Linked DNA regions of Drosophila melanogaster. The protein of the gene in region 3 purifies or fractionates together with the protein of the main gene of each other region. This does not show direct contact. Each region holds a gene or a part of one and is shown on either strand. Other genes may lie near its edges.

The links.
Region 1: the proteins of Rab9 (region 3) and CG1544 purify together in Drosophila melanogaster (affinity purification with mass spectrometry, with the first as the bait; one large-scale study listed by BioGRID). This does not show direct contact.
Region 2: the proteins of Rab9 (region 3) and CG14562 purify together in Drosophila melanogaster (affinity purification with mass spectrometry, with the first as the bait; one large-scale study listed by BioGRID). This does not show direct contact.
Region 4: the proteins of Rab9 (region 3) and stac purify together in Drosophila melanogaster (affinity purification with mass spectrometry, with the first as the bait; one large-scale study listed by BioGRID). This does not show direct contact.

Annotation. Positions count from the first base shown.
Region 1 is NT_033777.3:31,194,349-31,203,245, reverse strand, and holds the start of CG1544 (uncharacterized protein), read right to left. Parts: upstream 6,331-8,897; 5' UTR 6,235-6,330; coding exon 6,111-6,234; intron 4,076-6,110; coding exon 3,958-4,075; intron 3,790-3,957; coding exon 3,612-3,789; intron 3,526-3,611; coding exon 3,306-3,525; intron 2,843-3,305; coding exon 2,681-2,842; intron 2,338-2,680; coding exon 2,264-2,337; intron 2,188-2,263; coding exon 1,426-2,187; intron 1,366-1,425; coding exon 948-1,365; intron 892-947; coding exon 568-891; intron 199-567; coding exon 10-198; intron 1-9. Other genes in the region: mesh, read left to right, coding at 7,792-8,188.
Region 2 is NT_037436.4:21,940,267-21,945,958, forward strand, and holds the start of CG14562 (uncharacterized protein), read left to right. Parts: upstream 1-1,954; 5' UTR 1,955-2,188; intron 2,189-3,470; 5' UTR 3,471-3,479; coding exon 3,480-3,792; intron 3,793-3,850; coding exon 3,851-5,692. Other genes in the region: PolH (DNA polymerase eta), read right to left, coding at 1-462, 521-1,017, 1,072-1,503.
Region 3 is NT_033779.5:19,430,419-19,437,103, reverse strand, and holds Rab9 (Rab9), read right to left. Parts: upstream 4,531-6,685; 5' UTR 4,233-4,530; coding exon 4,041-4,232; intron 2,438-4,040; coding exon 2,243-2,437; intron 2,182-2,242; coding exon 1,798-2,181; 3' UTR 1,263-1,797; downstream 1-1,262. Other genes in the region: CG10237 (uncharacterized protein), read left to right, coding at 1-72, 141-294, 471-958; RtcB RNA ligase, read right to left, coding at 4,753-4,980, 5,041-6,333.
Region 4 is NT_033777.3:25,054,453-25,063,484, forward strand, and holds the start of stac (staccato), read left to right. Parts: upstream 1-2,566; 5' UTR 2,567-2,647; coding exon 2,648-2,730; intron 2,731-3,172; coding exon 3,173-3,452; intron 3,453-4,628; exon of another isoform or gene 4,629-4,817; coding exon of another isoform or gene 4,818-5,105; intron 5,106-5,756; coding exon 5,757-6,097; intron 6,098-6,160; coding exon 6,161-6,208; intron 6,209-6,507; coding exon 6,508-6,667; intron 6,668-6,731; coding exon 6,732-7,552; intron 7,553-7,618; coding exon 7,619-7,833; intron 7,834-7,890; coding exon 7,891-8,168; intron 8,169-8,225; coding exon 8,226-8,316; intron 8,317-8,380; coding exon 8,381-8,454; intron 8,455-8,513; coding exon 8,514-8,879; intron 8,880-8,937; coding exon 8,938-9,032. Other genes in the region: CG31109 (uncharacterized protein), read right to left, coding at 1-47; CG31111 (uncharacterized protein), read right to left, coding at 686-1,432, 1,583-1,645. UniProt on the Drosophila melanogaster protein: Essential for tracheal development in embryos. Functions with the GTPase Rab39 and downstream of dnd, to regulate lumen fusion between previously separate tracheal branches (anastomosis).

The DNA.
Region 1 (8,897 bases), on a different chromosome or scaffold from region 3:
TGGACTCACATTGCACGTTGCCGTACTGGGCCAGCTGGGCCTGCAGCTCCTGGATGGGGAAAGGACACAGGGACTCCAGGCGCAGAATGGCCGTGTCGTAGGCCTGCCGCTTCTCCCGCTCCTCGGCGAGAGTGTAGTAGTGCTTTCCACTGCACAGGATGACCTTGCGCACCTGCTCAGGCTTCGCTATGGTGTCTCCTATCGTTGGGGGTGGGTAATAACAGGGGAAAGTAAAGAAGAAAATGTGGATTAATATCGTAGTATAATAACCCTGAATTTACGTAAACATCTTTTTACAATTCATAGGAGCAGGACAGCATATAAAAAGATATATGTGGCATTAAAAGTCAATTATGTGCTTTGCAAATCTGAAAAGTTTATATTGCTAGTTTGCCTTTATGTATGTGGCCAATAACTATTTTGGCCAACGAGGTGTATTTTTAATAGATTTAACTATAGTAGTTTTCTACATATTTGCCTAGGGACAGAGACATAGTACCCTAGTCATGCCATGACCCCACTCGCTATCCCTCGAGTCCGTGAAGATAAACAGAAGCCATTACTCACCCAGGACATTGTGGAAGAGCGTGCCCGGCTGGAAGTCCTCGTGCGTGGATGTGGCCGCAGGAAGACGGAGCAACGTTTTGGGGGCCACCACCACGAGGGGCTTGCGGAAGTTCCTTGCCAGTTGGCGACGCAGCACATGATAGTATTGGGCGGGCGTGGTGGGGTTCACGATGTGCACGTTGACGGAATCGCCATCGGCGGATGTTTCCTTGGAGTCGCAGAGCTGCAGGAAGCGCTCGATGCGACAGGAACTGTGCTCCGATGCAGCGCCGTCGTATCCGTGGGGCAGTAGCATCACAAGGGCGTTGGACTCCATCCACTTGGCTAGTTAAGAAATTCTTTAAAATCAGTACGGAGAAAAGATGCTATTTCCATCTCACTTTCTCCCGAGACGATGAAGGTGTCGATTATAATTTGTGCTCCATTGGCAAAGTCACCAAACTGCGCTTCCCAGATAATCAGGTTGTTGGGATTGTCAATGGCCATGCCGTACTCGAATCCCAGCACCGCCTCCTCCGACAGAATACTGTGAGCCAGCTCCAGTTTTCCACCGTTTCCGCCCTCCATGCTGTTCAAGGGAATGAACATCTCGTTGGTCTGCTGATCCACCAGCATGGCGTGGCGATGGGAGAAGGTTCCCCGACCCACGTCCTCACCACTGATCCTCACATTGTGTCCCTGGTACATCAGGCTCCCAATAGCCAGGGCTTCGGCTGTGGACCAATCGATCTTGACTCCGTTTTCCAGTTTCTTCAGCCGAGCATTGACATGCGTTTTCAGCAGGTGGGGATGGATGTTCTGTTACCCAGGAAAAAACCTTTAGAATATATATATATACACATATCTGAGCTAACTTACAAAGTCTTCGGGGAAAGTCACACTCTGCTGACCAATGTAATGAAGTAGTGAGTAATCCAAGCCAGTGTCCCAATAGGTTAGCTCCTTGGAGGGAGCCAACTGAAAGTTCGTCCACTGCTTCTCGAAGTAGGAAGGTGGTGGCTGGTATGCAGGAGCCAAGGCTAGCTCCTCGCCTAGATATTTCATGTACTCATCCCTCATCTCCTTGGCCTTCGATTCTGATAGAACCTGCTCCTTGGCCAACTGCTGGGCATACAAGTCCGGAACCGATTCCCGCTGGTGAACAATCTTGTAGACCAAGGGATTGGTGAAGGTGGGGTCATCCAGCTCGTTGTGACCCCACCTTCTGAAGCAGTTCAGATCAATAAAGATGTCTTTGCGGAATTCCCTCTGGTACCTAAAGGCCAAGCTTGTGACCCTGGCCAAAGCCTCGGGATCATCGCCGTTGACATGGAACACAGGAGCCTGAATAGACTTGGCCAAGTCTGAGGTGTAGGCAGTGGATCGTCCTCGATCTCCGGGCGTGGTGAATCCCACCTGGTTGTTGACAATCAGGTGCAGACTTCCGCCCACCTCGAAGTGAGGCACATAGGCCATGTTGAGGCACTCCTGGTTGATTCCCTGGCCGGCGAACGCAGCATCACCATGAAGGATTACGTTGAGCACGTGCTCTCCAAAGGGCTGACTGCCATCCCCGAAGGCACCCTCTCCTCTGGCTTGCTGTTTCGATCGCGTTTTTCCCATGGCCACAGGATTGGCCGCCTAGAAGTGGGATAAAGGAGGAACACGATGCTTAAATTAGAAATCAAATTTCAAAGTTTGACGTGTGTCGGCTTACCTCCAGATGGGAGGGATTCCGCACCATGCTGAAGCTCAGCTTCTTGCCCAGTATTTTCAGCTGCTCGGAAACATCTGTGTGCGATTCGGTTCAGGTTTTATTAAATTAAGCATACGCCGTGTGTGCTTAGGCCAGCAAGGCTAAGACTGCTTGGCGCACACGAAAAGGATGGGATGAAGGGATTTTAGTTCAAATGAAGACTATGAAATACCCAGGATATTAAAATCCATACCTAGTACTAAATACTTTGGGATAAATAATTGACTATAAATAAGTTATATGTTACATTTTTTCTCCTGTTTCTATTTTACGGTCAATTCAACTTCAGATCCTTCTTGTCCGTGTAATAAACGAATATACCAGAATACCCTACTATACCTGTAAGCCCACCGAACGCCCCGGCAAAGTTTCACTTACGGAAATGACTTATGACGTCGGACATGGCCTCGATGTCTTCGGAAAACTCGGATGCGCCGCTGAGTTTGCGGAAAACTTTCGCCGGCCGCATGTTGAGGAGCGCCGCCTGCAGCGGAGTCCTTCCTCGATGGGGCATCGCCAGGACCACGTGCTCGATGTTCGCTGTCATTCCATTGTATAATTTTTTTTTATCGTTGTCGTCGTTTCCGTTGTTTTTCGGGGTAGCATGCGAGAGGGAAAAGTTTTGAGAAAGCAGATTAGGGTTAAGTAAGCGTGCGATGATATGTGAGCATGCCTGTGGGAAGGAAGTTTGGAATGCTGGCTAGAGTTCAGGTGGGCTAGCTCAAATTCCGAGGAGCAGATTCACCATCTCTGCGGACTGTCACGAGACAAAGTTCGGCGTCTTGAAATGGGTGCGCGATTCCGCGTTTTGCTAATCGCGTTTAAGGAGCGGTCCACACGCACGAGACCGTATAAATCATGTCATAAATATGGGATGAAACTTTGAAATTTGGAATAAAATGGACTTAATCGTAGAAGTTTATGAATGTTGCTTTGCCAAATCGATGTTCAACGGAGTGATGCATCCAAATAACTTCATGATGGCATTGCGTGGGAAACTCACCTTGGACACTGTCACGGAGCAGTTGCCAGAAGAAGGCTAGCATGGACTCGGCTCCTTCGCCTCCGTATCGCTTGACTGTGGGAAACTTGAGTGCCATGAAATTGTCCCAGGCCTGCGACTTAATTAACAGCTCGGCGATTTCGCAGCGCTCGCTTTTTCCCAGCTGCTGCTGGTCCAGCGTCTCAAAGTTCCGGGCCAGCCACTCACGCTCCTCGATGTCCTGCGAAAATGAGGCAGCGGGATCAGCACGCAATGTTTATGGGATGCGGTGGAATGGGATGAGATGCGATAGGACGGGACACCTACCTCGACGTAGGAGAACTCGGCGCTGGTTGAGCGGCCGCAGTAAATGTCCTTGAGCAGCTGCTCCAGCTGGGCGACGTTGTGGGCCACCTGCGGACCACTTAAAAGGCCATCGGTGCGCACCGGCTCCTGTGTCTGCAGTCCATAAAATGCGGGACTTAATTCCTGCAGCTCCTGCTGGCTGTGTCCAGTAGCCACGAAAATTCACAAGACAAATACACGCAGCCGGGGCGATATTACAAAGCAGCCAGAAAGGGAGAATAAAATATGACATTTGCCAGGACGATTTCGGGAGGGGTATGGGAAAATGGGAGCTGGGAGCTGGGTACTGGGTGCTGGAGCCTCCTACCTCGTCCTGATGCTGATGGGATTTACGGCTGCCAATTTGTGCCCATGCTGGCGAAAGGCCTCCACAAAGCGATAGACGTTGGCCTGCGAGTTCCTTGAGGCCCGCACATCCTCGGCCACTGAAACACACGCGTAAACAATATAAATTTCGCCCCACGTTATAAATTATTTAAAAAAGGATTCACGTGCACATCGCCCCGTTGCCACGTTGTTCGGCCTTTTGAATTTATTGGCCTTTTACTTTTATGATATTTATTCTTTGCTTTTTACGCTTTGCTTCACTTTGATGGACTAGCTGCCAGGTATGTGCACTTTTGAATCGTATTTACCCGGCAAATATTTGGCATTCGATATGAATTCGAGTGGAAAATGTCGAAAGGAGTTGGCTAAAGATTTAAATGGGGCTTATTGAGATTGCGTGCAGAACATATATTCTTATCATATACATATATCGTTAGTTATTCCAGTTAGCAGATTTACATCGAATTTAAAACTATAGAGTGTACCACGACGTTTGTGCTTCCCGATGGCAAGCAATTCGTGCTACATATGAGAAATTACGATTGTTGTTTTTATTGCCTTTGTTGGGATATTTTATTCCCTGGTTGAGCCATTGACAACTCGTTGGCTGCTTAGGTGTTTACGTGTTAAAGTGTTATCCTGCTTACAGGATTTATATGCGATGACGCATATCACTCGATTACAGTACCCTGAAAATTCGAAATCCGTGGGACAGCTGGCATTTGCCAGTTAGACCGACCCCAAGTCGTCCTCAGAAATTTATGCAATTTCTCGACGGCATTTCGGCCATAAATCAATTTAATGTTAAAGAGTAGGTCGCTTGGACAGGAGCACAGGGTGTATGATGAATTGTATTTGCGGTGACAACATTTCAGCTTGAGCGTGTAAATATTATTGGAGCACAGCGGCGCGTCCTTTGCCAAGGATAATGATTGCCCTGACAGAAATGCAGCCAAAGGACGAACGGCAAACAAGGCGAATTATACCGATACTACACTGAGGCAAAACTAACGCTTAAAGTCAGTTTTAGTACGCTTTACCATAATTCAAAATACTGGTCAATTGGGTTTGCTTTAGAATATCTAACATACTTTTCCAAAGCCTGAGTAAATCCTAGACTTGATTTTCTCTATGTGCATCATCCTAGGCGCCTGATGTCACATGGTCAAGCGTTGAAGGCTTTCCTCTGGTGCCCAGTCAAAGGCTCCTGGCAGACTATCCAACTACCAACTACCAACTGGTGACTGGTGTCTGTTGGCCATGGTGTCGATAAGCCCCAATTGTGTACGCAACGGATGCAGGACAAGCACAAAGAAGCTCCCGTTTTGGGGTCCTTTGTTTGCCGGGCTTTGATATTTAGCCGGGTCCTTTTTGGACTCCCTGCCGTGCGTTTTGGGAAAAGATATAGTATCTCTGCACTGGACATCCGCCTCTCTTCACTTAATTAGTGCACTGCACGGGGGGTCTGCCACAATCTCCTCATTCTAATTATAAATTCGGGGTACTGGGTGTAGCGCCATATATTTCGGGTTTATCAGATTTCAGAGTGAAAACATGTGATAAGCTGAGAACGTGGAGATTAGCTTGGGTAGGTAACAGGAAAGACGGTAACATTAAAACCATAAAAAATATTCCACCAGTCAACAGGAGCTGTTCTTTCTCGATAGTATGAGAGGCATAAACAATGAACTTCAATTTAAAAAATATTTTGCGAAATTAAGTTAAACCTGAAGTTAGTGAAAATAATCCTAGGTATCCATACGTATTCCCGTATATACCCTCCGATTACAGGGTATACAAATGATATATCTTCTTTAAACTGGTTTTCGAATTCACCCACAGCAATTTGCACTTGATCTCTTGTTCAGGCTGTTGTTTTATTGCAGTTTCTGCGGGGATTGTTGTGGGTCAGCTGCTTGAATTCCGCTGATAAATAGCCGGCTGGAAAATCCGACACGAACGCACACACACGCACACAATGTCACTTCGTCGGTTTTTCTTTTTGCTTGGGTAGATTTCCACTGCCCATTCATATGAATGTTTGATCCCGAAAGACTCTTATCGATGCGATGGTTATCTCGACGGATGAGGTTTTTATTGAAGTCTTGGCAACACACTTGTTTACAACCGTACCTTGAAATTCACGCTGGGCAATCGGCTTATAGCCCCAAACGCCCTTTTCGCTGTGATAGCACCGCGATTGTGGGCGTGGCAGTTTTGCGATTCCCGCCTCCGAAAGCGCCAGATAACGCAGCATGCTGATGGATTAAAAACGAGGCGTGTATGCCGGATCACCTGATAAGTTCGCAGCGAAATCGCGGTCTCTTCTCGCCGCCGTTCGACCCAGAACTAAGGGCAATTCACTTTTGTTTGAAGCCGGGACCCCCATATTCCAAATAAACTAAATTGCTGATAAGCTGGGAAATAAACCGGGAGAGAACAAATCCCTCCGAAAAGTAGTGCCTACTTTTGGGCTGGTGGTGTGATATGATCGCTGTTAATTAACAGAGCGCTTGTTAAACACATGTATGAGATGATAATGAATTTCAAAATAGTTTCTTATCAGTTAACTAAAGCTGATAATGCAACAGGTTCGTTGGCCAATAATGGATTGCCTTTGAGAGAGGGAAGAGTTGTATCCATTAAATTAGTCATACATATGCTCAGGAATATATTGAAATGAACTGTACCATAGTTAAAAACATTTTTATATTTATATATATATTTTATACATAATTATGCTGTCGTTTGTTTAAAAGATATATGGGGTACATTTTCAACACCAATTTTCCCCTAACAATAACCACTATAAAAATATATCTTATCCTTCGATTTTTATTATAGCAATGTTTATCTGCATTATTGTTTTATAATACCCTTTTAGTCACACAAGTTGATCCTCAAAACGCTTTGATTTTATTAATTTGGAGTTCCCCACTCTGCACTTGATTTCTTCATTAATGAGGACCATGACACTTTCATGTCCTAATGAAATCCATCAGTAGGCTTTTTTACGGGCGGCTGATATTCATAACTCTAAAGCTTCATCGGAAATGCCTATTAATGGTCGGTAATGGGTCATTGTCTATAATTAAACCGGAAGCGTGCTCTCATCAATTTCGCATCACACACATACATGTTTAGGCTTTACAGCCCATTCAGCTTTTCACAAAATGGCCGCGTCATGAGTATGATTAACTGTAATGGAAGTGAATCACAAATCTGCCAGAGACCATTGTCAACAGAGAGAAATATAGGTAACGGTCCCACGAATGGGCATAAACAAATAGGTTGGTAAATTTGGAGCACAGAGAAGAGAGTGAAGCTTCCCGAAAAAGCCAAGCGGGCCGAAGAAGGAATGCGTTATCGGTGCGTAGTATTCCATTGATAAGATATGCCTAGCTTTATCTGGCCGATAAGGCAATGTTTCACAATCGAGTAGACGGCGACAGGTGAACTGAGTTTTGGCAACGCCCCGATCGGGCCGTTAGAGTTAACTTAACTTCAGTCTTAGCTGAGCGGCTCGCTGCAACGAACGTGTTTTCCTGCCTGGTAATTAAAGTTAAAATTGAAAATTGGTGACAAGTGATAAGAGAACTGATAAGCCATTGCCTTAACTGATGATGTCATCAAGTGAAAATTGTTAGAAAATGAGGATATCAGAGGAAAAATAGTGTACAAATTCGCATGAATTGAGTGCTTATTGAGTGATACTTTTATTGTGGATGCCTAATTGATGCCTTTGTGTTTTTCTTTTAGCAGTGAAACGAAAAAACGAATTACCAATTAAGTGACAAATCGAAATCAAGTGAACATGCGTTTCAAACTGTTTGTGGTTTGTGCGCTGGCCTGCGGGTTTATGGCCTTTGTCCTGGCTAACGAGAATATATCGACGGAGGAGTTCGAGGATCAAATAATCAATGCAGTTCCGGAGCCGGTCAAGGTGACTAAGCCCAAAGCTCAGGCGGAATTCGTTGAGGTTCCAAAGGCCACGCCCGCTCCCAAAAAAGCGGAAGCGGACAACCCGAAAACCAAACCACTGGCCCTGCAGAAGCCCACTCTGATTCCCGTGGTGCATGTCAGCAGTCGGGGAACAGATGATATCCTCACCGTCGCGGGACTGAAGCCCGAGAAAATGTTCGGAGCCCTCATCATGCCAAATGACTATTTGGGGGAGCTGTACGACGTGGACAACAGCGGCTACAATTGGGGTGAGTAGGTTTCGTTGTCCCTGGGCTGATTCAGTTCCACCCCATTACTCATACGCCGCGTTGACTATCTTATCAGAACAGCTCAGTGGGTTTCAGTTTGGTTTAGTTACCAATATTTGCTCGATAACCTGTGTTCGGGCATTCAGGTGTAGGTGCTGTAAGCCCCTCTCTCTCTCTCTCTCTCTCTCTCGCTCTGTGTTCTTCCCGATAAGATAATGCCCCAGGTTGAGGCATTAAAAAGCTAACGGTTTCTTGTTTTCCGCTTCGGCAAACAAAACAGGTGCGTGGTGGCATAGTGAATATACGCATATGTATGCACACGAATATAGGTGTGGACACGGCGGACAGCGGGAGCACGGAGTCTTGCGTGATTCAGTTTACAACCTGTGGTAGTGTGTGGATTTAGCAATTCTGTTTTATCAGTCCCCTAGAACTGATATATTGGCTATTCGGAATTGGAATTTTTGCCGTATTAGTCACAGTCATTTGTTAGAATGTAACTGTGTAATAAAAAAGGGTTTGGTCAGAAATAGAATATCGAAATATATATGTGGAATTACTCACCGATTGCAAAGGAGTAATGGTTTAAAAATATTGTAATATTTGTAATGCCTCACTTGCCAAGAACAAGACGCTTACATTTTGTTTCATATATATATTTATATTTTATCTTATATTTGAACTGTCTTTAGAAGCTTAGGCTAACTTA
Region 2 (5,692 bases), on a different chromosome or scaffold from region 3:
TTAGCAAACATCTCCTGCAGCTTGTTTTGCCCACTAGAGACGGTTTCGAACTTGCCAACACTAATGCCAAGGAACTTGATAGCATTGTTTAAAGCAGACTCGCTACCAGGACGCAGAAACGTTTTAGTGTTTGCCTTGATTAGGTCTAGAGAAAGCCTTACGATGGACTCCTGGTCGTAATCTCTGAGAGCAGTCGAGCGGGAGCTGGCCACCTCCTCGCCGTCAATGTCCTGCACATATTGCACCACCATATGTTTGGCCCTGCGATTGTTCTCGATGAAGTCCTTCTCAAGGCGGTCGTTGATCTCGGAGGAAAGCTCACCAAGCCAATGTTGAAGGGTTTTCAACCCCGTAATGTTATTTCGACCCGGAAACTTTTTACAGCAGCCAATGCTTTTCGAATAGAAGCGGGGAGTCACGGCTTCCAGGTCTATGCCGCGAGAGATGTTAAATAGCCAGGTTCTGGAATAAGAGGAAATAAGTTACTTTGAACGTGGTCTACTCCTCTTAAGGGACCCACCCATTCTTCTCGTCAAACTTGCGCTGCAGATCTACCTCCGAAAACTTGACCACCTGGCCCATGAACTTTATGCCTAATGTCTCACACACCACCTCACCGAATTTGCCACCCAGCCCCTTGATCTTGCCAACAGGCAAGGAGTCGAAGAGGCTGGCGGTCTCCGTCAACGGCAAAATAGTCTGCTTGTTGGGCTTGTTCATTCCAGCTGCCAACTTGGCCAGGATCTTATTGTGCGCTATGCCAGCCGAGCACTCGTAGCCTGTCTCTTTTTTTACAGCCGCGCGGACTTCACCTGCCACAGAGGCTCCAATAAGAAGCCGAATGTCGCTTTGTCGGACGGCGGGAAGGTCGTTTTGGTCGTAGGACATCTGGTAGCGTTCGTCGTCCATGTAGGGATTGGCGAAGCGATTTGTTATCTTGTTGACGTAGTCGCCAATGCTGGGATAGCCCACAGCAAAGGTGTTCACCAGTTCCTGCGGTTGCAATGCAAAGGCTCCCTGCAACGAGGAAAATAATAATAAAACGCTTTAAAATTATGTGCCAGAGCTTACACTCTGCATCTGCTGCATGCGATGGTTAACGGTCTCCGTTATGTCCAAGTACGCCTCATCCACGGAAGCGCGCTCCAGGAGCTGCGTAAATCGCTGCAGCACGTTGGCCACCTCCTTGCCGGCATCGCGGTACTTGCTAGTATCGGCCTTCTCCCGGATATTCGGCACCTGGCAGAGCACGATCTCCGGACACAGGTCCTTCGCCTCGTCGCCGCGCATGTGGCGAGTGACTCCCTTGGCACGAGCGGCGTAGTTCACTGCTATGATGCCGCCACCTCGCCAGGGATTGTACTGGACGACGGCCAGCGGGCGGTTGCGGTATTCCGGATGCTGCTTCTCCTCCACCTGGCAAAAGAAGCAGTCCATGTCCACCAGCAGGACCACGCGGTCGTACTTGTTCTGCATGCTGACATGGCTGCGTGCGCTGGACATGATTTCATTTCGTATTATTGCGCGAATTTCACTGCGCGCCAGGAGTGTGGCCGTGGCGGGGACTTCTTAAAATACCGATGCATTTTTGAATACTGAATACATTAAAGTGTTTCCCATATTTAAATCTGATAAAAGAATTCGGAATAATAATAATAAAAATATGCTCTTTAACACATATCAAAGCAGTTGTGTTATATCTTCGATATAAATCATTTCTTAGTTAGATATTCCTTAAAGTAAAAGTAAAGAATTTTGTTGAAAACATATTTTCGATAGTAGTGGAGCTTTATACTTTTAAAGACTCTCTTATTACTAAGCTATTTAGAAATTCAAAATTAGAGAGTATTAAATAACGTACCCTTGTATCGATGCTTTGTAGTCTAGCGTAGTTTGAAAAATACTTATCTCTACCCAATCCGTACTTCGCATTAGAGCAAAACCTGGTCACACTATATTGGATATTTTATAGTTTGTCGTTTCTCACTCGGAAATAATATAAACAAACGCGAGTAAATATTATGTGCAGTCCGGGGAGTCCTGGGAGTTATATTTACGTGGCATAACTACCACCTAATAATAAGTAACATATATTGTCGGAACATCTACGCCGAAGAAGAATGCATTTCAGAAATCCTTAAACCCTGTCTTCTGTTTTTCTGTATGGAATAATAAAACGAGTTTAAACGTAAGACATTGCCAAAGAGTAAATTATTTGCCAAGTTTCCAGCGGCACCTTCTAACAAAATGCTTAGATATTGATTTTTCCATATAAGCCGCTGCCAAAATGCAACTGAAAACGCACACACATCTCTTAGTGACCCCATTCCCCGCCGTAACACACATTTGCATGTTCTGGCTTCTCCATTTCCCAAGTTCATTTGGGTTAACGCACGGATTACGCGGGAATTATTGATTTGACCGAGCGACCAGAAATAAATCTCAATCCTTGTCTATTTCCGGCTATGCCACTTCCGTGTCCGCCTCCTGGCCGGCTGTTTTGATTGATGCGCCGAGTGGTATGTCCAGCGAATGTCCAATGGCTTAATTGGGCTAACTCACGTATAGCTACTCGGAATCGGGGTTGGGATACCGGGCCCACTTTAATCGCCTCATAGAATGCCGGTGGTGGTGGGCGGCGGAAATCAGGAAGGGCGTGTTTTTGTATACTATCGTGACCTAATTTCCTGTCTGTTTACTCTATGGTCAAAGCGTACAATACAACAACGCAGGACTTCCACCTGAAGTAAAGGTGCAGCACTGACCTATTGGAATACTTGATGCCGCACGACGTTGGGACGGGTTCTTGTTTTACCAAATGTACCACTCTCTCTTTTAAAAAAGGTGTTCAAAAGTTCGATTGCATATCTATGATTCTGAAAGACGGATGGTGAATGAAAAAGGTGTACTGCGAGTGATATTTTTGGATTTTCAATTTAAAATGTATTTATCACAGTTTTATTTGCTTCCCTACTTTTTGTGACTCCAGATAGTATACATACATATATCGTAGATTAACAAAATTTTTACCGATTAAAGATTTAATTTTGATCGCGACTTTATCTACAATCCCGAAATATTCTGCGGCTAACTCTTATTAAATTTAAGTGCTTCACTTTTTAACTGCCCTATCCTAGCCTAGCTTGCCCATATGCGCTAGCCTTAGGCCTCATCGGCACATCCACTCTTCCGATCCCTAACCCCAGTATAAGCGCACAATTATGCTAATGGTTCACATGCCCAAATAAGAACCACTTGAGCCCCGCTAAGCGGTCCGCCAATCCACTGTCACTCGGACTTCTCCCTTTCTCTGTCCCACGCTCAGTCAGAGAACTCCCTGCTCTAGTGGCTGATTCACGGTGAGGCCATCAGTCTGTGTACGTCCGGCGATGAAGTCACTCCACTAAGCTGAGGGCTTAGTTTGTAATTCTAGAGTGCCGTAAAAAAAGAATTCATCGTCTTTTTTGTAGAGAGCCACCATGGTGAAGATCCTGCAGGCCTACAACTTTGCCAGGCAGCAGACGTATGCCCTCAACGGTGACATCCTGGCGGCCAGCCTTATCGGGAACAACCGCATAGCCATCAGCAGTGCTGAACAGTTCATCGAGATCTACGACATAGGTGCCAAGCAGGCTCAATCTGAGGACCACACAAGAACGGCACCAGAGGACGTTGGACAATCCAATGAGACGGCAGGAGAATCCACCACCACCGCTGGTGATGAGAGGACGCCGAGCAGGAGCACGCTGGCCACGGTGGGAGAAGTGGTGCAACTTATTTACTGTGAAGCTGGTGAGTATATATTATGTATATGTATCTGAAAACGCTACTAAAGATGAATCTTCCTCAGGCAAATACCTACTTACTCTTGAAAAGGAACAGGCGGGCAGTCCGGTGCACTCCTCCTCCACCATTAGCTGCACATCAAGCAGCAACAGCAATACAGTCTGCTCTGAGGACGACACGAAGATGTTCGTACGCATCTACGCCAACTTCTGGAAGTTCCCGGACAGCCGGCTAAACGAGCTGCCCATTACCATTCGAATAGCTTCGATGACCACGCCCAAGACACCGTTGGTGGAGAGCATCGATGTGATTGAGCTGCCGTTGCGCAGTCCGCCGGAGCTGGTGCAATGCTGCCAGACATCCGGAAACATCATTGTGAGCAGTCGTGACAGGATTTACCTCTACGAATACACCCAGTGCGTTCATGAGAACACGCAGCCTAGGTTCGCTTTCATCGACTTTCTGCCCTTTAAGTTCTTCGTGCAACTAAACTTCGTCCCTGTGCGTCTGTGTCTAGCCGAGAACGTAATCGCCTGTCTCAGCAATCGCTACTGCGTGGCCTTTAAGGTTGTGGATGCACTTACTAGCAGAGCCAGTGGAGGGCAGGATGTAAGCTGTCTGGATAACGACTACGTTGGCGGAGACGAGCCGCTTTCGGAATCCCTAAGCTTGGGCAGTAAGGCCAGTGCCAGCGGCGCAGGTGGGGGCGTGGTCAGTTCCAGTCACAGCCAGCAGAGCTGCGACAGCGATTCCCTACAATCGACGAGCAGTGCAAAACCACAGGTTGTCATGAATGGTGCCTTGCCTGGACGGTCACCGTTAGACTTTAACGTGGCCAAGCTGGTGAACAATGCGTACGGCAGGGAATTTGAGCCGGAACTGCGATCTCAGTGGGACGAGACTACGGACTACGGAGCAGGAAAGGGTCAGGATGACAACCTAGATATCACCATCAGCCCTCAACGTGCCTCAGACATTAAAATCAAGCTCGTGAACGAGGCCAAGGCAATGAATGTGAGGGGCATATCCGGGAGCAGTCATCTGGATGATGCGTCGGTGCAATATGATGTGCGCAAGCTGTTGCAGATCTGCATGAAGACCTCGGAGAATCAACCGCGCGTTCTGGACATCTTTCGTTGCATGGACCTCAAGGCCATTTACCAAAGGAACAGCCAGGAAGTAGACCAGGAGGACGATGAGTATGACATGGGCAACCAACAGGTGCCCAGTGCTGTGACCACGTTTAAGCACGTAAACCGCCGGACGCTTAAGTCTTCTCAGCACCAGAGGTGCATAGGACACGCCCTCCTCGTGGCCAGCAGTGTGGACGGCTTTCTGTACCAGTTCTCTGCGCAAGGAAAGTGGTACAGTGAGAACGAAAAGCCAGTGGCCAGCTACAGCTTCACGGCACCTGTTATCCAGGTCCATATCAACGACTATGTCGTGTATGCAGTGACCTCCGAGTCCGTCGAAACGCACACCTCACGAATTGGTCACAAGCTCTTTCACAATCGCTTCGAGTACCCTTCTATTGGCGGTTTGTTCCCAGAGGAGTCCGCTCCGGATGTGAGTTCCCCCATCGCCGTCGTGGGTCTGGCAGCGTTTATGCATGTTCAGTTCGTTTGCGTTAACCGAGAGCAGCTAGTGCTTATTACGAATGCAGCTCTAGAGCAGCACAAGCGGCGGAGCATGAGCGAAGTGCCTGGCACTCAAGTCGTAGCTGTCAAGAGAAACATTGCTGCACGCCTATTGGCCGAAGCGAAGGCGAAACACAATAGTCTGCTAAGGAGCAGCAGTGCAGTCCAATCCTCGACGGTGGCCAACGAGTGGACGCTGTACAACCTAGAGGTACCTCGGGTGGAGTGCGTCATAGAGGATCTTGAGGGGATTGCGGAATCCTATCGCA
Region 3 (6,685 bases):
AAGGGAAACGAGGAGTGGCTGATCAGATACCTGCGGCCCTGCAAGTATTACCCGGAAAGTGCCCGTGATCTGGTGAGTCTAGTGTGGCAACCCAGTTTCCAGCTGTGTTACTAATTGTATATATTCTGAATATGGAACAGATTAAGCGGTACTACGCCTTCAAGGTGAAGCACGCGGATGTGTACACCGACCTGAAGCCATCGAACGAGGCCAACATCTTCAAGCACAACATCCTTACCGTCTTCCCCAACCGAGATCAACTGGGTCGTCGCATTTTGGTCCTCGAACTGGGCAGTAAGTACACTGAAAGAAGGATACTTCAATATATTAGCTTTTGAGTGCAAAGATCTCGATCTTCAGAGTAAAGTTTATTTTAGTTAAGATGCAGGTTTTCCTATCATTTGAAGTTTCATAGTTGCTCCAAGCATTGAGCAGATCCTGTATTAATCTTTCGTAATCCCCGATTACAGAGCGCTGGAAGCACAAGCAGGTCACCCTCGATGAGGTGTTCAAGGGAGCTGTGCTCTTCCTGGAGGCGGCCATGCTGGAGCCAGAAACACAGATCTGCGGAGCCGTTGTGATCTTCGACATGGATGGCCTCAGTCTCCAGCAAACGTGGCAGTTTACGCCTCCGTTCGCCAAGCGCATTGTGGACTGGCTTCAGGACTCGGTGCCGCTCCGGATCAAGGCCATTCACATCGTGAACCAGCCGAAGATTTTCCAGGTGGTCTTTGCCCTGTTCAAGCCCTTCCTCAAGGAGAAGCTGCGCAGCAGGATCATCTTCCATGGCACCGATCGCGAGTCCCTGCACAAATACATGTCGCCCAAGTGCCTGCCAGCCGCCTACGGAGGATTCCGGGAGGCCAGCCGCATCGACAGCGACCAGTGGTACCAGCTGCTGCTCAAGTGCGACACCGAGTTCGACACCATCAACTCGTACGGCTACAAGAAGAAGTGATCTGTGGCCACCGGCCTGGTGCTGCTCGTGATAATCAACTCCACTCGTTTCCACACGTCTTCACATTAAGCCCACGTGGAGCGTTATAGTTAAGCACTCGATCTACCATACGCTTGTCCTGTTAGTGAGTAGCGCCTAGAGTTTGCCTTAGTCTTAACCAGGATCGGAGTGTCGATCGCAGCCAGAAGAAGTGTTATACCTACATGCATATTATTTTAATCCGGGGTAAGCGTATTTATATCATTTTACTATTGTACATTAAACCAATTGTTAAAATATAAACATACTTTGTAAACAAACACGTGCGGTATTCATATTTATTCGTTTGTTCCCAGCTTTCACATCAGATAAACACACTTAAGGCACTCCGAAATTATGCAATATATAAGGAAAAAATGTAGTGATTACATTCTGATTGCCTTATGCGTAGTACATTAGACACCTAAAGCTTGCTTTCCTCAAGCAAGACACTTGGTTATGGTAAAGCTTATATACGATTGTTATAAGAGTATTTCATACCGCATATATTCGATACGGTAACATAACAAAATAATAACTTAGTAAGATAATATTAAAGCATAGCAAGTAAAAATGGAGATCCTATTCTTGACATAGAAGCTAGCTCATAGTTAGCTCGCTGTGAAGCATAGTTCCCTTAGAATATCAACCACAACGAGGCAATCCACTCTCTACAGCCATCAACATTGGGTGGATGGGTTGCCTTTCGGTCTGAAGCTCCTGCCCCTCCGCGGACTGGAATGCATTGAATCTGAAGGTCAACCCGGCGGGGTGAGTGGTTAAATTAAGCGTAAGTTTCCTGACAGCTCCTGTCTGTCTGCTCATAGCCGATAATTGGTGGCTGGCGCCTTGCTGGCGTTGCGCTTCTGGCCGAACACTTTCTTGCCCGGACTGTGCATGGCGGCATCATCGCCATCCGCGTCCTGCCCTACGCCGCCGCCACCGCCTCCTCCGCCTGTGCAACAGATGCGCCGCTGCACCAGGCGAATGGGGCGGGTGAGGTCAATGGTGTCGCCGTGCTGGCGCAGTTCCGCCTCGGCCACGCACTCCATGTGCCGCCACTGGCGAAGGCCAAGGACGAACGCATCCGTCACATTGGTGGCCGCCTTCGATGACGTCTCGATGTGGCAGGCCACCTTCTGCTCCGCGCACCACTGCTGCACTGCGTCGGAGCTCACCTGTCGCTTCTGCGCCGGAATGTCGTTCTACAATTGGAAGCAATTAACCTTTTAAACTCAAGATGAACGTTCTGCAAGCATGGCTCACCTTATTTCCCACCACGATGAATGGAAACTTGTCCTGGTCCACATCTGCGTAGTTGAGGAACTCATTGCGCCACACACCCAATCCCTTCAAGCTGTCCCGGTCGTCGAGTGCGTAGCAGAGCAGACAGATGTCCGATCCTCTGTAGAACGGGGTGCGTAGAGCCCGGAATCGCTCCTGGCCAGCGGTGTCCCATATCTAGTTTGGGGAAATTCCAATTAAGGCAATGCATCAATTAAGTTTGATTGAATTGGCGATTCAAATGGCGCTCAATTGAAATTTGCATTCGATTAGAAGCAAACTCACTGAGAAACAAACACTTTCGCCGTTTGAAAACCTATGGAGTGTTTGCATGCCTGACTGACTCACTTATATCAACACATTTACTGTCATTTCTTGTGTGTTAATTAAATATTTAGTTTTGAACTGATAACGAGGTGGTGATAAGCAATTAGCTCAGGAAATAGTTCGTTGAATCTGAATTTTCGAGTAGCATACATACTTTAAATATTTATTTTATACTTTTATTTATTTTATACTTTCGAACATGAGGTTATACTTTTAGCTCTAACAATGGATACTTTAAACTTCTTTATCTAATATAAACACCTTTGGCCTCCAAACACATGGGTGGAATAACCCTTTTAGGGTGTGAGTACTGCCCATGGTAACTAAGTGACTCCATACATATGTACATATGTATATAGGTAGTGCAAAAAACACCCCAGTGATTCCACGATTTTTTGCAGCACTGGGAAATCCGCTTTTGGCCAAGTTCTTCCTGTGCCCAGCGAACTGTGAACCAGCAAACTATGCGAGATTCCCGTCGGATTAGTCATATGTATATCAATCAGTCCACATTCGCTACTTCCTACTTTATAATGTATCTGCTGGTCCAATTAGAATTATTATTCCGATTTGCGACACCTTGGCTGCATTTTGCTTACTCACTGAGACGCGCTGCATATTCATGAGTTTTCCGAGCTTGGCGAACTGTGAAAATCATTTAGTTCGATACTTTTGAAGACAACAGTCCGAATGGAAAATGGAAAACAACTGCGATGCGGATGAGATGGAGCGGGGGAAACCGCGTCGGCGGATGAAACAAAGTCTCTCACTTGTTTGCCGAATGGCGAAACTGTCATTATTGTTATTATTTCAGTTTTTTGTTTCTGCAATGCCATTCCGTTCTCAACGCTAATTGAGTAGAAATCTAATGTTCATATATGTGTGTGTGTGAGTGGGGATGGGGCAGATGGAACAGATACCCCCATAATGTAGGTACAGCTACAGTGGAAAAAACTACGTAATTAATTGATTGCACATATTTTTTTCTTAATTTCAAATGCAAGACTCAAAAACGTGTCAGTAAGATAATACTTTTCTCTGGTATACGAGTGTTTCAAATGGTTCAAGGAATGTATAGTCAATGTTTCCTTGTTTAAATGGTTTAATTTGTTAGCACTTCTGTTTTTACCCTGTTTAACTTACTAAAGTTCCACTGTGCCGCGAATGTAAGGGAATGGAAAACAAGGCTTAATCGTTGTGTAGTTTCTAAGTGTTTGCATCAACAAAATGCCGGTGGATCGGGCACAACCATGCGACGGTGGGATAGATCCGTTTGGGGGGGGGGGGAGGGGGTTAGTGTTTAAGTGAAATACACTTGAAGGAAATACGCTTGGCCAACTGTTGCATTCACCATAAGAATTGCAAAAGTTCTACGGCCTTGCCGCAATATCGGTATTACTATTACTCCTAGTCAGTAGTTGGATTGCATAATAGTCATAGTCGTAGTCTTCACCTGCAGAGTGTAGCGCTCCCCGTCGACGACTATGTCCTTGTTCATGAACTCCACGCCGATGGTGTGGAAGTTGTTCTCCTCGTAGCGATTGGCGACGAATCGGGTGAGCAGGGCGGACTTGCCAACGCCTCCGTCGCCCAGTATGACGACCTTCAGCAGCTTGGACTTCTGCGGCGGCCGCATGTTCGTCATAGTGCCTGCGTTTGTTTGTTCTTGCAGTTAAGTCCGGCGGCAACAGCAGTGGCTAGATTTCTTTGGCCTTTTCCTACTGCGCAGCTTGGTTGACTGCCGGCTGCAGTGAGTTTTCGGCTTAATTGCACTCACGATTCCCGAGCGATTAGCAGGCGCACATACAGAATTGCACACGGCGTGTTGTTAACAACGAATATAATTCGTTTTTTTTCGTTTAAATAAATCGAAATGGGCAGCTCAATCAAAATTCGCGCCGTGCAGCAGGTCCAATTGGATTGGCAGTCAGCTGACAACTAACAGACCGGGCCTTTGGCCTAACATAATGCTAAGCTCGCCGTTAACAGAGCGCCAGTGTGGGGTGACCACAGCTCACTTAACAGCTTAACTACATAACTGTTAACTTTGAATAAAAAAACGAAAACCTCTTAACAAATTCTATAAAAATTTTAATTCGTTATTAACTAAATTGACAGCCATCGGACCAAATGTTTATTGACTTAATCACAATAATAAATTAGACTTAGCCCTTGATAACTGCAATTGGGCGCATCTTGATGCACTTTTTGCTGATGCCAGCTGCGTGACAGGTGTCGACCACATCGGTCACGTCCTTGTAAGATTCGGGTGCCTCCTCCATGACCAGTTTGGGCGAGGCCACGCGTATGGCGATGCCCAACTGGTCCAGCTTGTCCAGCACATCCTTGTAGTCCAGATTGCGCCGGGATTTGGCTCGAGATAGTGCACGACCCTAAAGATTCAAGGAGGTTTTAGTCTGGCGAACAGGAAGAAACGGGATTTGGTTACTCACCGCTCCGTGGCAAGTGCTACCGAACGTCTCCTGCATGCCCTGCTCCGTTCCAGTTAGCACGTAACTGCAAGTGCCCATGGTTCCACCGACGAGGACTGGCTGCCCGGTAAGCTGATAGTCCACTGGGATCAGGGGATGGTGTGGCGGGAAGGCGCGCGTGGAGCCCTTCCGGTGAACCAACAGCTTCCGCTCCTTGCCGTCCACCATGTGGTTCTCCACCTTGGCAATATTGTGCGAAACGTCATAGATAACGTGCATGTCGAGATCATCGGGTGTGGTGTTAAACATCTTGGCAAACGCTTGACGGGTGAGGAATGTCATGGAGCTGCGATTCACCCAGGCAAAGTTCGCAGCCGCCGCCATGGCCTTCAAGTAGTCCTGTCCCTCCACCGAATTGATCCTGGCGCAGGCCAGCTGCCGGTCATTGGTCTCGATCTTGTCCCGCTTCATGGCCTTCTCCATCTGGACCAGGGCGTCGGTAGCGACCTGGTGGCCGAAGCCACGACTGCCCGAGTGAATCATCACCACCACCTGGCCCTTCTCCTCGATGCCCATCTTGGAGGCGCTCCACTTGTCGTAGATTTCGTCCACCACCTGGATCTCGGCGTAGTGATTGCCCGCACCCAGAGTGCCCAGCTGGGGCAGCCCTCGCTTCTTGGCCCGCATGCTCACCTTGGCGGGATCGGCGTTCAGCATGCGGCCGTACTCCTCGCAATGCTCCTTGTCCTCCGCCCACACGTATCCCTCGCGCAGCGACCAGTCCATGCCCATTTCGAGGGCCTCCTCCAGATCGCGGGCATTCATGGGTATGATGCCCTTGGAGCCCACACCCACGGGTATGTGATCGAACAGGGACTGCGCCAGTTGCTCCTTCACCGGCTGCACATCCTTCTCGTACAGATTCGTGCGCAGCAGACGCACGCCACAGTTGATGTCGAAACCCACGCCGCCGGGACTTACAACGGACAGCGGATCGTTCATGTCGAAAGCAGCCATGTTCCCGATGGCAAATCCGTAGCCGGAATGAATGTCGGGCAGTCCAATGGACCTGCCCACGATGCCCGGCAACGCGGCCACATTGGCTATCTGCTTGACGCCAGGCAGGAAGCCACCCACTGCGCCCGGGCGACAGGAGTTCTTCAGCTCCTCCAGCATCAGGCGCTCCAGCCGGCTGTTCACATAGAAACACCCCTCCACATTCATATTTGGCTGGAAGCCCTTCTTGATGCGCCAGCAGTGGTCGCTCACTTTCTCCAGGTACCGGAGCTCATCGTTGTACGGACGCACCACCATCCTGACTCTCCGGTCGTTCTCTTTGCCAGCCAATCGCTTCTTAAGCTATTTATATTTATGAGCTATTTCACCAGTTTTTTATTTCTGAATTGCATGCCGGCACAAAATATTTGTCAGCGATACTATCGCAGTGCGCGATGTGTAAAATACCAGACTTAAAGCGATACGAAAAATACCGCCTTTACACTTGCAAACCAATTGTCAAATATCGTATTAAGGTAAATTTATTTGCTTAAATTAAATTAAAAATGCTAACAAATTGAACAGCGCTGTGTTATTAAGTTATCCTGCTAACATATTTATGTGGTGGTATGCTTGCATTAAGCAAAGTATGTTGCCCAGCTTATCTGTG
Region 4 (9,032 bases), on a different chromosome or scaffold from region 3:
AGTCGGCATAGAAATCCCGATATGCACGCCTTTTCTATGCTCCCCATCTTGATTGATTCCGATTCTGTTGGTTGGCTATATCCTCAGCTGCTGGTTGGGATGTCGTTTAATTTAACGCTAGCCAAAACAACTTTCCCAAAATATTGTTTAATACTTTTCAGATAGGTGTTGTGTACATATGTTTCGATTCGAGGGTTGTATTTCCGATTGCCTCGGCAGGTTGCCAGCTTGTTTTTTTCGGCATTTCTATAGAAAAGTCGATAGTTGACAACAATTGTACAAATGCACAGTTTCATTTGAAATAACCGCGAATGCCCACATAAAACATATGATTTTAGCACATTGAATCATGCGGAAGTGGGACAAAGAGTTTTTAGAATAATATGTTATCTATTTAACTGGAAATTGTTAACCAATCTGTCCCAAACACTCGTAATAATTTAATATTTTAAACTGTATTATAACGTATTATACAGCTGGAAAGTATATTTTGAAACGGACGAGATGGAATTGAAACAGATCAGCTGTTTCGGGTTTTTAGTGTTTTCGTATCATGTACCAGGTACATACTTAGGTACATAACTAAGTACTTCTCGCAACGATTGTATCAGAGAAATAAAATTCGTCTTTATATTATAAACTTATTATTCTTATATCGAGAATCAAATAGTAAAAACAGATCTTATCAAGATAGAAATCCCTGGAGCGTCTCAAAGGATAAAGACGCGCTGTTTAAGGACTGCACATTCTGCACCGCGAATCCCTTGAAATTCGTGCACTGATGAAAGGCAGGATCCATCATAAGCAGCGATTGTGTTTTTTGGTTTGACAAGCCAAAGAAAACCTCGCCCTGTACGTCGAACGGTATTTTAATTTTAACGCAGGGAGACCGCTGAATGGAGTTTAGAAGCTCCATGTGACACATATTGGCGCTTTCTCCGAAGAAAACTCCATCCAGATCATTGTCGGGTATTATTTGGAACTGAGGAATCCCGGCGTTATTTAAAATCTTACATGTGAACACACACTTCTTGCGCGGATCCTTGGGATGGGCGTAGATTCGTGTGGCCACATATCCCACGGGATATATCCAGCTCTCAGTGTGAAAATTGGGATTCACTGATATAATCTCGCCCAGTGAGTGGAGTAATACATTATTTAGGTTCATCGGAAACATGGGCTTCTTTTTCCGTACAATTGTAACATTTTTTGGCTTATCTTCGACGGGGTTCTTATGCGAAACTACAGGACTGTATTTCTTTGTGGTTTCAGCGGCGTCGTTTTTTCCATTCGAGACACTGGGTCGTCCACTGTTGGATTTCTCCAAGCCCTCGTGAAACATGAGGCGCTCTATCAAGTAAAGTCTTTGGGATCGGGTCACAGATAGTTCGGCCTGCAGACGACAGATCTCATCCGTGAGGGCGGCGTTCTCCTGAAATTGGTATTATAAAGTTAATAGATCATATAACTTCCCGTAAATGTTTTATGCTATAATGTAAACATATATGTGAGTAGGAATCTTAAGGTTTCTTGTAAATACTCTTAAGTTTGCATAACTTCGCCCTAGTTTCTAAGATCTTACCAGTAGATAACTCTTGACGGAGCGTTTTAAGCTCTCGTAGCGCCGCTTATACTTTAAATTCATTGCTTTTTAATTTATAATTTCAGCAAAAACAAGAGATACGATTTGTTTGTTGTTATTGCCGTGGGTTTGTTATGATTATCGGACTGCAGGGCTGCCATTCGTAAGTTATCGAAATACGGTATTCGGTAGATTCATTTATGTTGGTATATCTTACATACCAAATTAATAAACAAAACTGATCTAATCTAATCTTTGTTTATTTTAAAAGATATAAATAAAGTTTTAAAGGGTGCGAAAAAAACAAACGGAGACGTTAATTCGAATTGAAATTAAGGAAATTCCTAATGGATTTGCAAATCCTCTTAGCCTAATTCAATCTGGCATTCTGACCTTGCAAAGGACTTAATCATGTTAAAAAGTTACTTCCGGCGCTCGGAATTAAGGATATTTGAAAAAATAAGGTATGTTTTTAAAGTAGTTAAATAGTTGCGCACATAATTTAGCTTGGCATCTGAAAATGTGCCTTAAAGTGCGTAGTTTGACCATGGAAGCACCAGTCTGCAAAGGTAGTTACAAGAATACCAACACCTAGCCCTTCAAGAGTATATGTACATAAACAGGTGTGCGTGAGGCTTACCACCATTAGAACCATTGATGATTGGTAACTTCTTAATGGATTTTCATTCAACAATTTCAAGAGTTACAAACTATAAGTTTTTAAAATCATTAGCATGAGAGCTAGAAAAAACGTCCGATCACCATGGCAACAGGTGTCTGTCTGTATGTATCATCCCGTTCCTTCCCATTTCCCCACTTTCGCCCAATGTTAGATACTACAAACATCCATAGCTCATTATAATGTGTTTGCGATAGTGTAGGGAAGAGCGTGTGAATACCACTGAGAAAAATCTACGTCGGAGAGCAGCTTTGGCAATGAATCACATCGTTTGTTCGTTTCGGTTTCGGTGCAAATAAGCCGTTAGTATGTTTCTACACTCCGGTGACACTTGTTGGATTCCGATTTCGATTCAGTGCCTCTGAAGCTAAAAACGCAACATCACAATGGACGAGGAGCAGATGTGGAAGGGCTTCTTCTTCAAGTTGCAGGAGCTCAAAATGAATCCACCCACGGAGCATGAACACCAGTAAGTTGGATGAATAAAATACAGACTCACGCATACCTGTAGAAAACTTGAAAACTCACCGATAGACAAACATTTGTTCGCCAGACGAGCCGAAATGTGTGTTTCTATTTCTCTAGACAAATATGAACATTTTGGAGAACTGGAACTGTGTCATCAGATAAATTAAAGATTATCAAGTGAAATTAACGTGTGTGCGTGAGGAATGGCAAGTGATGTAAGGGAGTGGGGGAAGCCACAGATCGATTTTACCACCCACTCGCAACTAAAACATGACTCAGTTTTAGGGTATTTTTCACTGGGCTTTCAAATACATCTACATAAGCTTGCTCATAGTACGAGTATCCCTAATCGAAATGAAATCCCCATTAAGTGATGACTAGCCAGTGCAGATAATATTTAATGACTTTTTTCGAATTATTTACTAATTGCACTTTTTCCGCAGACTGCAAGACGGAGATGATGGATTTTTCGAAAAGTTTGGATCCCTACTGCGGCAGAAGTCCCAAATCGATGAGGGCGTCCTCAAAAGTTCACTGGCTCCCTTGGAGGAAAATGGCAGCGGCGGAGAAGAAGATTCGGACGAGAGTCCCGATGGCACTTTGCAACTCAGCCAGGATTCGGAGTGCACCAGCATCGATACCTTTGCCACCGAGAGTACACTGGCGTCCAGTTCGGACAAGGATATCAGCACTTCAGTTCTGGACTCGGCGCCAGTGATGAATGTAAGTTTTGTAATTGAGAAATCAGTGCTGTGAATCAGGTTGACAAAGCCATTAAAAGGTCACAACGAATCAGACAATCAAACTGCATTCCAACTGGTGCAACTAATAGAGCTCCAGCTTATACTAAACGTAACCTATAGTTTAATCATAAGATTACTAAATTATTTATTTAATTTAGTATCTTACATACTCCCAAATGCGTACGTTAAGAGATTTTTCATATTTATACATGTGATTCATACGAGCTCTTGTGAATTCGTAAAACTCAGTTTAAGGATGATTTATGGTTTAATCCGCCCTAATATATATATACATATATATTCATGATAGAGTATTGATAATCGCCGCTTTACGAACTCGTTTTGAATTGTTGGGTTAGTATGCACTGTAGCTTTTAGGATTCGAGTGAAAGTACATCAAGATAAAGCTCCGTCATTCAGTTTGGGTTTTACCAGGTCGACTCCCAAACTAGCTATCCACCATGGTGGGTATTGGTGAATATGGATGGCTTTTGAGCCTGGTCACATTCACGTCATGTGTAATTCCTAGGCCCGACTACCGAGGAAGTTGCGACATAGGTCAGTTTTCCAGTTTGCAGCGCGGCGTAACGATCGCCTACGAGTTAATTCAATGTTTTATCTTGTGCCAACATTTTGCTGTTCGCATGTTTGCCGTCTGGGCAGGTGTAGTTTAATTGAACAGAAACCGAAAATGAAGTCGTGTCCATAGAAACGAAACGCTTGCACAATAAACAAAAGAACTTGCCTATATAGTCGGACTGTATAAACAAACCGAATAATGTATACTGACAGCATAAACAAGCACTGCAGAACATGCAAACATTGAAGAACCCTAGAGCGGCCAATTGAAGGGAGGCGGGGAGAAAGCTTAATGTACTTTAGAAAATACATTTTTCATTACCACCTTGAGCTTTTCCTTTTTGTATCCGAAAATAGACCATTTTCTCTTAAGATTGCTTTATTATTGCTCACAAACACTTGGCCATCATCGTGTACATACGAGTATGCACAAATACACCAAGCAATCTGAATCGAATTGAGCGCATACACTTTTTATCTCATGGTCAACGTCAAGATATTTCGGATATCGCAAAGATTTCCCACACCGGACGCTATTGTACTTAGCTACAGACTCTTCTCCGAAGCGGTTGTGTCCAGTCGGTGTTCCTGAGTCCGTGGGTGTCCACGATCTGTCCACCAGCGCATCCGATCGTGCTCGATAATATGTGCGTCTATATCGAATTGTATATTTGCCAGAGAGTATTTGCCAAAAATTTCAATTTCGCTTGCACCTAGAGAAAAACATTGAAAAAGTGGAGTGATCGGTTAGTGGCTGGGTTCGATCATGAGCTACCTATCGCTACCACGTGTTCTGAGCAAGTTCGGCTCCCAAAACCACAGTTCGTCTAACCAAAGTTCGAAAACCAATAGCCTAACTAGATCCAGTACGCGCACCGGATGCGACGAAATCAGACTGCCGCGGAAGGCATCCTCCACCCAGTCGCTCAACAAACCATTCGAGCGACGGATGAGCATACTGAATCGGAATGGAAGCATTTCCAGTCGACACTTCCGTGGTGTCCACAAGCATTTACTTGATTCCCATGCCAAGGCGGTCTGCCACTCGATGACCGTAAGTAGAGAACGAAGTTTGGATGCTATATCTAGATATGGATATATCTGTAATCCATAATGAACTGATCTTAAGAATATCCGAGGGAATCGGTTCATCAGTGCCTCGGTAAACAAAAGCGATTGTATAAGTTCATTGATTTGGCATAATTGTTGAGTCACTCGAGTTAAGTGCACAGAGTATTTCAGTGCTTAAATACATATATTTATGTACTTGTTTTTTTTTTGCCAAAATCATAATTGAAAATTATGTAAAGTGTAGCTAGAAGATACCAAAAAAAAAATCAGCGAAAATGTGAACATTCTAAGAAGTTTATTGATTCGAATTTGGAGCTAAGTCAATATTTATGTTAGTGGATAGTTTATGGGAATGATAAAACATTTCACTGTAGCGAGCATCCAGTAGATACTTATATAGAATGTATCTAAGCAAACATGACCTCAGCTGGGTCTGTTTTTCCAATTTCCCTGCGAAGATTTGTTTATATTTCCGTATTCTGGAATTTGTCGATATTTACTTAGGCTTTGACCTTTAGAGAAGTGACTTATTTCTATTTTTGCTCAAAGAAATTAAAATACTTCACCGATTAGATGGTTTATAAATGTCGCCTGCGTTTTGGGATTAAACTAATTGTTGCCTTTGCTTTTGCAGGTCACAGATCTCTATGAAGAGATATTATTTGAAATTTTCAACAACATTGGCTGTGAAAACAACGAAGAGTGCACAAACAGTTTGGTCGAATTCGTGCAGGATGCATTCAAAATTCCGAACGCCACTCATGAGGAAATTTATGAGGCGGCGCGACTGAAAGAACCGCCCAATGTTAGACTAAATGTCGAGATTATAAAGGCCGAGAACCTCATGTCCAAGGACTCAAACGGCTTGTCCGATCCGTTTGTTACCCTGTACTTGGAATCGAATGGCTCCCATCGATACAACTCATCGGTCAAGCCTGCCACATTGAATCCCATATGGGAGGAGCACTTTTCACTGTGAGTCTTGATTATTTCGTATAAAAACTGATATATATTTGTTAATGTTTATTTTCTTGCTAGGCCAATTACTGAAAATGCTCGAGACGAAGTTCTTATCGTTGAAGTGTGGTAAGTGTGACTTTGTTTGCATATTGAACTCATATAACGCACTCATAAAACCTACGTTATCTGGCTGATAACGTTTCTTGAACTCTAAATTGCACTTATCGCGGATCAATAGGTTTATGGTCTGAAACTAACTAACTCGAAGGTATGGCATCTTAAAAACTCATCATTCTTTTTGAAATATGTTTGAGTAGTTAAAGTAAAGTACGTTGTGTTAGTTTTATAACATTAGAATTTCATGCTAGAATCCCATTTATCTATTTTAACGCATGATTCCCATTTAATATTTTACCTTTTTTCAGGGACTTTGATGCTGCGGAAACCGTCAAGGAAAAAGTCAACAAAATCCTGGATGTTAAGGGTGTGAAAGGACTTAGCAAGCTGATGAAGGAAATTGCTGTAACAGCTTCCTCGGGAAAACATGATAATGAACTGATTGGGAGAGCTGCAATTACATTGAAGGTAGGAAAAGATCTAATATTATCAAAGATCTTAACACTAAAAAAAAAACACACATATCCTTCAGTCTATTCCCGTTTCCGGCCTCACCGTATGGTATAACCTGGAAAAGGGAAGCAAGGGACGCAGTCGAGGATCACTTCTGGTTAATCTGGCCTTGAGTGCGGAGAAGAACAAAAGTGTCGCCGTTCAGGAGCACAAGAACCTACTGAAACTGCTCCTGATGTACGAGCTGGAAACCTCGCAGGTGGCCAACTACTGGTGGAGCGGCAAGTTCAGTCCCAATGCCGAACTCATTCGATCCCAGCATGCTGCCCAGAGTGGGCTAACTCCTTTCGACTGTGCGCTCAGCCAGTGGCACGCGTACAGCACCATCCATGAGACGCACAAACTCAATTTCACACTATTCAATTCAATTCTGGACGTGGTGGTGCCAGTGATTACTTACATGCAGAACGACTCCGAGGATGTGAAAACATTCTGGGATGGCGTGAAACGACTGCTTCCCTCGTGCTTCGCAGTGCTAAGGAAACTAAGATCCAAAAACACCAGTGATAAAAACATAATTAGAGCTCTGAACGAAGTTCTGGATATTCTAAAGAAGATTAAGGAGCTGGAAGTGCCGGAGAGTGTAGACATATTCCCCAAATCGGTGTATGGTTGGCTACACACAAACGACACTGATGAAACGTGCAATATTGATACTGCCATTGAGGATGCTATCAACACGGGGACAAGGGAATGGCTGGAGCACATAGTGGAGGGCAGCAGGCAATCTAAGAACACCGAAACCGATGACGAAAAGCTGCAGTACGTCATTAAACTGATACAAATGGTGCGGTCTGACCTGCAACGTGCAATGGAATACTTCGATAAAATCTTTTACCAGTAAGTTTTACAATTGTGCATCGATGAATCAATCAATCATTTATTATTTACCTTGTTCATTTCCAGCAAAATTCAGCTTAACTATTCCGCTGTACTTTATTTATTTTATGACTCCAAGCTTGCTGAAATCTGTAAATCGATTATAATAGAAGTGTGCAATAATATTAAGAGATTGGATGTGCCAGACGATCAATTCGAATATTTACCCAACCTTGAGAATGTAAATATGGGCACGACTTTGTTTGAAGTCTATTTAATACTCAAACGTTACGTTCAATTAGGTAAAGTACTGAAGTCCTCACTCTTAGCAAATCACTAATTGATTTTTCTGTTTACAGGAGAATCTCTTTGCTCCGAGCCCCTGGAACTGTCCAACTTTTACCCGTGGTTCGAGAGGGGAGTTACCCACTGGCTGGATATTTCAATAATTAAGGCATTGAGTCGCATCCAGAAAGCAATTGATTTGGATCAGCTGAAAGCGGTCGATGAAACAGTGAAATACAGCTCCTCGGCAGTGGACACACTTTCCATATTCTACCAAATCAAGATATTTTGGCAACAACTTGACTGGCCAGAGGTCGAGGGTTCCTACATCTTCGTAGCCAAAATCGTCAATGTGAGATTGAATACAAATATAGTTATGTTATCTTTACTAATTATTATAATTTTACAGGATCTTTGTCGCTGCTGCATATTTTATGCCCAACAGATGTCCCGCAGAGTTGAGAATATTTTTATTGCTGATGATAACAATAAAAATTTCAGTAAGTTCTATTGGAAACCATTTTTTATCATATATTGTTTGTATTGAATTTATTTATTTTATAGTTTTGTCGGAGGAGTGGTGCATAGCGATAAACAACATGGATTACATCCGGCAGAGCTTACCTTCATTCATAAAGGTAGAGGTTTTATTTACCTAAATCAAACAAATTTATTGAAAACAAATAATTTATTTCAGGAACTTAGCATTGATGACATTATCAAGAGATTGGGGGAGTATCGAACTAACTTAGAGGCTGAGAGATGCGCAAGCACCATCAAAACTGTCATTGAAAATGCATTGGACACCGAACGCAATCAGATTGTTGAGCTCATAGAGATTGTGGCCAGGAAAATGGCACCGCCAATTAGACGATACTTGGCCGAAGGTGCTGAGGTGCTCGCCAAGGACTCCAACTCCATGGACCAGTTAATGATGTACCTGGAATCCTCATTGGCCACACTCTACGATACTCTCAATGAGATTAATTTCCAGAGGATACTGGATGGCATTTGGTCAGAGTTATCCATTATAATGTATGATCTAATTCAATCAAATCTTGACGTAAGTTCTGACCTATCAAGTATGAAACAATATAAAAAGAAATTGATTATCTTTTTAGAAACGCCGACCACCAGCTTTCTTCCAAAATTTGAACAATACTCTTCAGACAATGATGGACTGCTTTAAAATGGGCAACCTTCAAACTTCAGACAT